2 linked regions of the Schizosaccharomyces pombe genome follow. The protein of the gene in region 1 binds, or shares a complex with, the protein of each later gene. Each region holds a gene or a part of one and is shown on either strand. Other genes may lie near its edges.

Evidence for each region.
Region 2: sws2 (region 1) and mrp2 share a complex: the UniProt entries of both Schizosaccharomyces pombe proteins name them as parts of the mitochondrial small ribosomal subunit.

The regions. Positions count from the first base shown.
Region 1 is NC_003421.2:983,438-987,192, forward strand, and holds the start of sws2 (mitochondrial 37S ribosomal protein uS13m), read right to left. Parts: upstream 1,718-3,755; 5' UTR 1,555-1,717; coding exon 1,274-1,554; exon of another isoform or gene 1,204-1,273; coding exon 1,029-1,203; 3' UTR 807-1,028; coding exon of another isoform or gene 1-806. Other genes in the region: vid21 (NuA4 histone acetyltransferase complex scaffold subunit Vid21/Eaf1), read left to right, coding at 1-806; P-factor pheromone Map2, read right to left, coding at 2,642-3,247. UniProt on the Schizosaccharomyces pombe protein: Component of the mitochondrial ribosome (mitoribosome), a dedicated translation machinery responsible for the synthesis of mitochondrial genome-encoded proteins, including at least some of the essential transmembrane subunits of the mitochondrial respiratory chain.
Region 2 is NC_003424.3:2,504,285-2,508,039, forward strand, and holds mrp2 (mitochondrial 37S ribosomal protein uS14m), read right to left. Parts: upstream 1,601-3,755; 5' UTR 1,561-1,600; coding exon 1,306-1,560; exon of another isoform or gene 1,257-1,305; coding exon 1,210-1,256; exon of another isoform or gene 1,169-1,209; coding exon 1,153-1,168; 3' UTR 981-1,152; downstream 1-980. Other genes in the region: AP-3 adaptor complex subunit Apl6, read left to right, coding at 1-980; mitotic spindle checkpoint WD repeat protein Bub3, read right to left, coding at 2,015-2,655, 2,701-3,022; threonine aldolase Gly1, read right to left, coding at 3,629-3,755. UniProt on the Schizosaccharomyces pombe protein: Component of the mitochondrial ribosome (mitoribosome), a dedicated translation machinery responsible for the synthesis of mitochondrial genome-encoded proteins, including at least some of the essential transmembrane subunits of the mitochondrial respiratory chain.

The sequences.
Region 1 (3,755 bases):
AACTCCTTTTATTACTCTTGCGACGATATTCCTTTAATTGGGAATTTGTTGCCAGTAGGTTAACACCACCAGGTTTGTACATACCGCTTGCCGAGAAGCGGACTGCGTGGGATTGTTTTGAAAGATGGATTCAAGTGGATCCCAGAGCCGCCAATGTCCAATTGACTGGCTCCCATGCAAGACTCGCTCAGCAGAAATTAGATGAATCCTTAAGACATTCGGATAAAGTTAGCCAACATCTATCCTTACGGGATGAAGGAACACCTAACCATTTGATTAAACATAATTCTTACTTCTTATTGCCAACTGTATCAAGACATTACCGACCCATTACTATATTTGAAGCTATACGAAAGATCCTTAAAAAGAGAGAGTTTGCTAAAAAACCCACTATGACCAAGAGAGCGATTGCACCATCTGCAGCTTCAACTGAAAAATTGCCGCCGGTTCCTTCCCCTCTCGAACTTTCTCGTTTGAAATCTGAGCGTGAGGCACAAATACAGCAAATACAGGCTCAGAGAAACTTTGCACAATTGCAATCACAAAACAGGGCTCTACGGCCGCAAAACGCCGCTGTTGCTGCTGGTGCACAACAACACAACCAGCAACTAGCAGCCTTTCAAGCTGTAGCTGCTTCACAAAATAGTAGTAACAATTCATCAGCGGGTGTCTCGCCTATAGCTGGTAGAATGGTCCCCAGGCTTCAGCCATACGCTGTTTCCAGTTCTTTAAAACTAACACCTGAACAAATTCATCAGTTGCAGCAAAGGAAGCAAACTGTACCTACTACTGAAAGGACACAGTAAGTATCGCCTCAATGCAATTTTTCGATTTATTGTATTTTTTTTGAGTGCTGTTGTATATTAGAAGGAAATTACGAGGCGAGAGCTTTTTCTCTCACACAATAAAAATAGAATACGTTTTCATTTTCGTATCCCGGTTGTTGGTTTTTTAACAGAATCAAGCAAATCGAGGTAATACGAAGTGTACATGATAAGTGAAGTTTGATTTCATAAACGTTATTTTAGCTAATGAATATGTTTTAATTTTTGAAAGACAGACACCATTCTCGGTAGACAAAAACTCCATGTGATGGGCCTTGTAGAAGCGGGCGACAGTGTCATATAACCTCGTCGTGGGACTTTGTTTAGCTTCTTAGCAGTCTTTGCATTCGTCCGAGTGTTCTGTCCATTAACGGGTAACCTGAAATATTCATTAGTTAAGTTGAAAAAGTTGTCGAAGACAGCTACGTTCACAAATGATCTTTTCATACCCGTTTACATGTCTCATTCCCCGATAGCATCGGATATTCACCAATCTTGAGATATCAGCATTCCGTTGACGCCGTAAGTCACCTTCAATAGTCATTCCTGATAGCAGTTGCGACAACGTTGTCAATTGAACATTTGTCAGCTCTCGAACCCTTAACGTATTGTGAAATGATAATTTTGCGCATATTTCTTCAGCCTTGGCATGTCCAATTCCATAAAAAGAAAGTAGAGCAAACCGCACAGGTTTATCGTCGTTTACAGCCACTCCAAGTATGTATACCATGATGCAAAATCTCAGATATCAACAGATGAGACAGAAACCAGCTCAATAATGAAGTGGACAATTTGGTTTTGTAATTCAGTTCTCTATCAGTAATCAGAGAGCTTAAAACCGTTCTGAATATAAGTATTAGGCTTTCTTGTAAAAGAGTGGAGTGGTGGTGTTTAGATATAATACACAGTTGGATCTCTCATATTTTTAGAAAACTAGTTAGATTGTACAGACTCCGGGCCTAGTAATAAAAGACAATTTGAGTAATCATTAAAGAGCTACTATCTAAGGTGTAATTTGATGTTTAAGAAGACCATAAATAGGGCAAGGTAAGACGAAGAAAAACAAATAAAGAAGAGATATCGTCAAAGGCCTTCCTTTTCTGTTCAAATTTTAAAATTTATGAACTCAAATGATCCCTTCGTTCAATGGTCTCAGTTTAAAATTTATTATTGAAAAATATATTCACGACATTACTGTCTCTTACAAAGTTGAATGTTCAACAGTACATGCGGAAGTACAGTAAAAAGTTTTGGAATAAAATTTTATATATTCTAACAATGCTTTGCGGATCTCAACTGTCATATATATTTCAAGTGCAGCTCCTTTACATTGCTATGCTTGTGCAGGTCCTAGGCATTTTAAATGAGCAGTAGCTTTCCGCATTTCAATTGAAACTTCAGTGCTTTCTTCTTATATGGGATATGACTAATTTTATCGCTTAACACAATTGGTAGTGTTCATTTTTATTATTACTTAAGCAATCCGCAAATCATGTGGTTTAATAGTCAGTTTTTAAATTGATGTTTTATTTAACTTTAAAAAACAAAGCAACTGAAAGAAGTATAGTACTGTAGATTTCAGTAATATTGTAACTACTATACGTTTTTTCTTTTTTTTTTTTTTTTTTTTTTTTTTTTTTTACAATATGAAGACTAAGATGAAAATTAAAAATATTATTGCGAATAGGAATACAGATCGTATGGTAAAATAATAGATCGAAAATAGCAATTAATTTAAAAAATTGCTTCACATGGCTTTGTAAAGATGTGTGGGCTAACATACTAGAAAATAAAAAAAATATGAAGATAAAATGAGTTTAGCTCTCAAATTTGGCAGTAATATTGACATCTGTAATAGTGGAATTCTCTGGGACAGTCATGATATAAAACTGAAGAAAGCGATAGTATTCTTCATCCTCTTCCTCATTCTCTTCATCTTCTTCAGTGCGCTTTTTCAAGTTGGGTCTGTCAGGATTAACAAAAGTGTTCCAACTTTGGTAAGCACGAAGGAAATCAGCATAAGTTTTTGCGGGAGCAGCTTCGAATTCGCGCTTTTTCAAGTTGGGTCTGTCAGGATTAACAAAAGTGTTCCAACTATGGTAAGCACGAAGGAAATCAGCATAACTCTTCTCTGGGGCAGCTTCAAACTCACGCTTTTTCAAATTGGGTCTGTCAGGATTAACAAAAGTGTTCCAACTTTGATAAGCACGAAGGAAATCAGCATAAGTTTTTGCGGGAGCAGCTTCGAATTCGCGCTTTTTCAAGTTGGGTCTATCAGGATTAGCAAAAGTGTTCCAACTTTGGTAAACACGAAGGAAATCAGCATATGACTTGCTAACTGAAACCACACCAGGATCGGCAACTGGAATAGGTGAGGCAGCAGCAAGTGAGAATAAAAGGGCAATGACAGCGGTGATCTTCATAATGTATGTGAAAAAAATAAAATTTCGTTGATAAGTTAGAAAAAGAAAGATAGTTTAAGCGATGAACTAGCAAATAAAAGAAGAAAATTATAATTTGTTGACTGATTCAAAAAAAGGGAGAGTTTAAAAAGGCAAAATTCCAAAAGAAAAAGGATTAAAAGATTAGAATAAGAAAGATCGAAGCAAATTTACAGAAAATTAGCTAACGGAGCAGGTTTGTTGACAAGAGGGATGTAAATTCACACCCAACGCGAGTTCTTGTAGAGTGAAGAATAAGAAATAGAAAGAGTGAATATGTAAAATAGAAGACTTGAACGAATTCTGGTTTTCTTCTGGGACAGAATGCCTGTATTTATACATCTTTGTAGTGCTCCGTTTCCCTCAATTCAAATCTGGAATTCTATGCTTTCAAACTGTTCATTGTTGACATTAACCGCCATTTTTTAATGACTTCCCCGTTTTCGTTTTATCGCTGTTTATCCTGATTGGTTGAAGATATTCGCTTATT
Region 2 (3,755 bases), on another chromosome or scaffold:
TCGTGACAGAAGCTGCCTCTTCACTTCGGCTTCTCATTCATAATGATCCTAAAGAAATATATCTGCAGTATTTAGCTGCAACGTATGAAACTTTGGAAGTACCGCGGGCCAAATCCGTTACACTATGGCTTATTTCGGAGCATATACTAATCATACCGCGACTAGTCCCTGATGTGCTACGCATTGCTGTTAAAACTTTTGCTGATGAGACATTAGAAGTGAAGTATCAAATTCTCGAATTATCGGTAAGACTATATGTTTTGTCTCATTCTGAAGAGAAGCAAAACGATTTAGAGTCAAGAGATGATGTCGTGTCACTACTTTTTAATTATGTTTTATCTTTGATACACTTTGACATGAGTTACGATTTACGAGATAGAGCTAGGTTTTACAAAGAACTAGCTAGTACACCGAGTTCTGAATTTACTAGGCGCATCGTATTGGAAAGCAAGGGGAATAGTCAAAAAGAAATTATTGCTTCTCGGGACTACTGCATTGGTACCGCTAGTTTATGTTTGAATGAAGACGTGATGGGATATGAGCCAATCCCTAACTGGGCTGATGTCTCTGATTTACCGCCTGATTCTGTCCGAGAAGGTATCAAGGATGTTTTGCCAATAAACCCTCATACGGGAAATATTTATTCAAACAATTCACCGGGTGTGAAAGCATTATCTTCTGATAACTTTAAACGTGATTTTGGAGATACTAACGCAATTAACCGTCCAAAATTTGTTGGCCAGCAAACGCTTGAAGAATTTTATGCTAGTGAAACTTCTGAAAGTTCTGAAGGAGAATATGAAACATCAACCAGTGAAAGTGAAGATGAAGAAACGGATGATACTTCTCAAGAGGAAGACAACGAAAAAAATAGTACACCTGATGAAGATACAGAGAACAACAATACCAGTTCTATATCTACTAAAAGTATAATGGATAGGCCGCTCACAGAACCTGAACCTAACTATTGGCAATCATAAACAATTGATAATGTAAATATTCAGTTTTGGAATGTAATCATGCAAATAATTGTACTTCATTTAAACGGCGAATAAATATTAGCTAATAATAAACATGATGGATTCACGGAAGATAATTAAAGCTTTTTATTTCAATAACGCTTATCATGGATTGAAATACAAACAACGATTATTACCATGATGCCTTGCTGAATGGATTAGTGACAAAAGTAAAAATGCTTATTCTTACCGAACTCCGGGTAATTTATTAGCTAGTGCTTTAAGTCGAAAAGGAAACTGAAATAGTCAGCATCAAAAATGCATTTATATGACATTATAATCGTACCCTTGCAAGTCCAAACGCACGAAATACACCTCGGCCTCTACCTGTCTCAATACAGCGATTTTTTATTTTTGTAGGATGTGCATTAGTCGGTAAAGCCTCAATCCGCTTTTTGGCTTCTAAACGCACCCGAAGAGGTAGCTCAGGATTTCTATATATATAGAGATTGCTTTGACGTTCAACTTCGTGTTCAGCAAAAAGTCTCCTACATAATAAATCACGAAATGCTTTATGCTTCAGGTGGCCCAAAGCCCTCATATTTTTTATTTCTGGTTTAGAAGGCTTCTCTGTTGTGTTCAAATTGTGAGTGTATTCTCAGTAGATGAAATAGTCAAAATAAATTACGAACTGCGCTAGCGATCTGTATAATTATAGTTATTTTAATAACTATAAACAATGTGAATAAGAGAAACAAAGTAAATTAGATAATTTCTACCAAATAGTGTCACATTGTTTTTATATTAAGTATTTTTAATCGTAACCCGTTCTTTATATAAATATGGTCTTGCGTTTATATTAATTGCTTATTAACTTAATATATATAGTGGAATAAAAAATAATAAATACCGTAATTATCACTTTGAAGCACTGAGGAAATATTGAACATTTACAACATTAAATAGGAGTGCTTCAAATAATATAAATTTCATATGTATGCAGTAAAAGAATCTGCATAAGATTTTACATGGATGAAGCTTTTTGATGAGCGATTTCATGACTTTAACTTTGGAGCTGCAAAGTTGGATTCCAAAGCATGAACATAGATATTACCAGCGGCTTCTTCTTGAGCACAAGTGGCAATTGCAAGCATGCTTCCGTCAACATTAAAAGAAATAGATGATATATTGATCTTTGAAGGATTTAACACTCTTAATCGTTTTCGGACTTGTATATCCCAAAACGCAACAACGCCATCTCCCCCAGCAGTTGCCAATGTTTGATGAATCGGATGAAATTTTAGGTCGTTAACTGGATAAACAATATCGTAGTCCTTTTGTATCTGCCGATGGCATTTAAAGGTAAAATTTTTGCTTTGCGCTTCCTGAGACGGGTTAATATATTCAACAGATGTCCTTCCCTCAATGCTGGAAGAAACGAATCCCTCAAAATTTTGGTTACAGCAAACACTTCGAGTCATATACTTAAAACTAGAAGGACGTCGCTGAAATGGAAGTTTTAAATTTCGAATATCGTACACCAAATTTTCTCTTTCTGAACAGCCTAGAACCAATATATTATCTCTCGAGCTACTTGCAAAAATTTTTTTTCCTATATCCTGTCCCTCGACAGGTTGCTTTACGCGAACATCCCAAACACGAAATGATTTGTCCCAAGACCCACTAATGAAACAGTCTAAAATGTTAATAGAATAGCTGGCTAATAAAATATATATCTTACTTTCCAAACGCAACTTAGAAATGCACGATACCCCCTTACCGTGGTTTCCTAAAAACTCATGGTTTCGCGTATTAAGATCGAGGGTAGTAACTGTCCCATCTAAATTTCCTACTAAAGCAGTTTTTTCATCTGTATATTCTAAAGAAAGAATAGGACTTGATAAATCGTATTTCCCTAAAAGTTCGGGATTTTCCGAGATTTGATAATGCAGTAAGCTACCATCCCAGCACCCTGCAATTAGTTCGTTTTTGACAGAGGGTGAAAATATTACACTTGAAATCCCGTCTTTTGAATTTTTTAGTAATGTTTTTGAGAAATTCATGGCAGACTGACAGATGACATGAAAAAGGAGTTTGGCGAGGTATAGGCCTTTAAATGTTGCTTCAAAAGGACAACGTCGAAGTTCGATGGTAATTGACCGAATTTTACGAAGATGAATTTCCAACGATGCCGATTATATTAGGTGTTAAACATAAATACTTACGTTTTCATACGCGCAAATTACTGTTTCAGCTTCTTTTCAACAAATTTTGACAGTCTGTGCCTCACAAGTATCTAAGATAAGCGAAGCGAATTGCTAATAGCTGTGTAAAATAAATTGCAAAGGAGCTGATTCTGACAGTTTAAATATGATGTAACAACCGTTATATAAGACATAACTATGAATACGTTTCAACACAACTACGTTCTACTAAATACCACTCTAAAGCGATGAAAAAAAATCATAAAAGAAAGAAATGCACATAACTCTACATACTCATACAAAAAACTGAAAGGCAATAGTAGATGTCAGTCAACTTTGACAAGTGAATGTACTACTGTAAAAATAATTTGAGCGTCGACGAGAAAATTTGCCTAGTTGATAAAGCAGAAAGAAGATTTAAATAGAAAATAAAGCTTAGAGTTTAGGTGACATGTGCAAAATCCCTTAATAGCCGACACAAAACTCACCAGGTTTGGCAACAATATGGGTTTCAACTGCTTGACGCTCAACTGTGCGACGTAAAACGTTCTTCAAAATCTCGACAGCATCAGGAGTGATCTGAATATGAAAC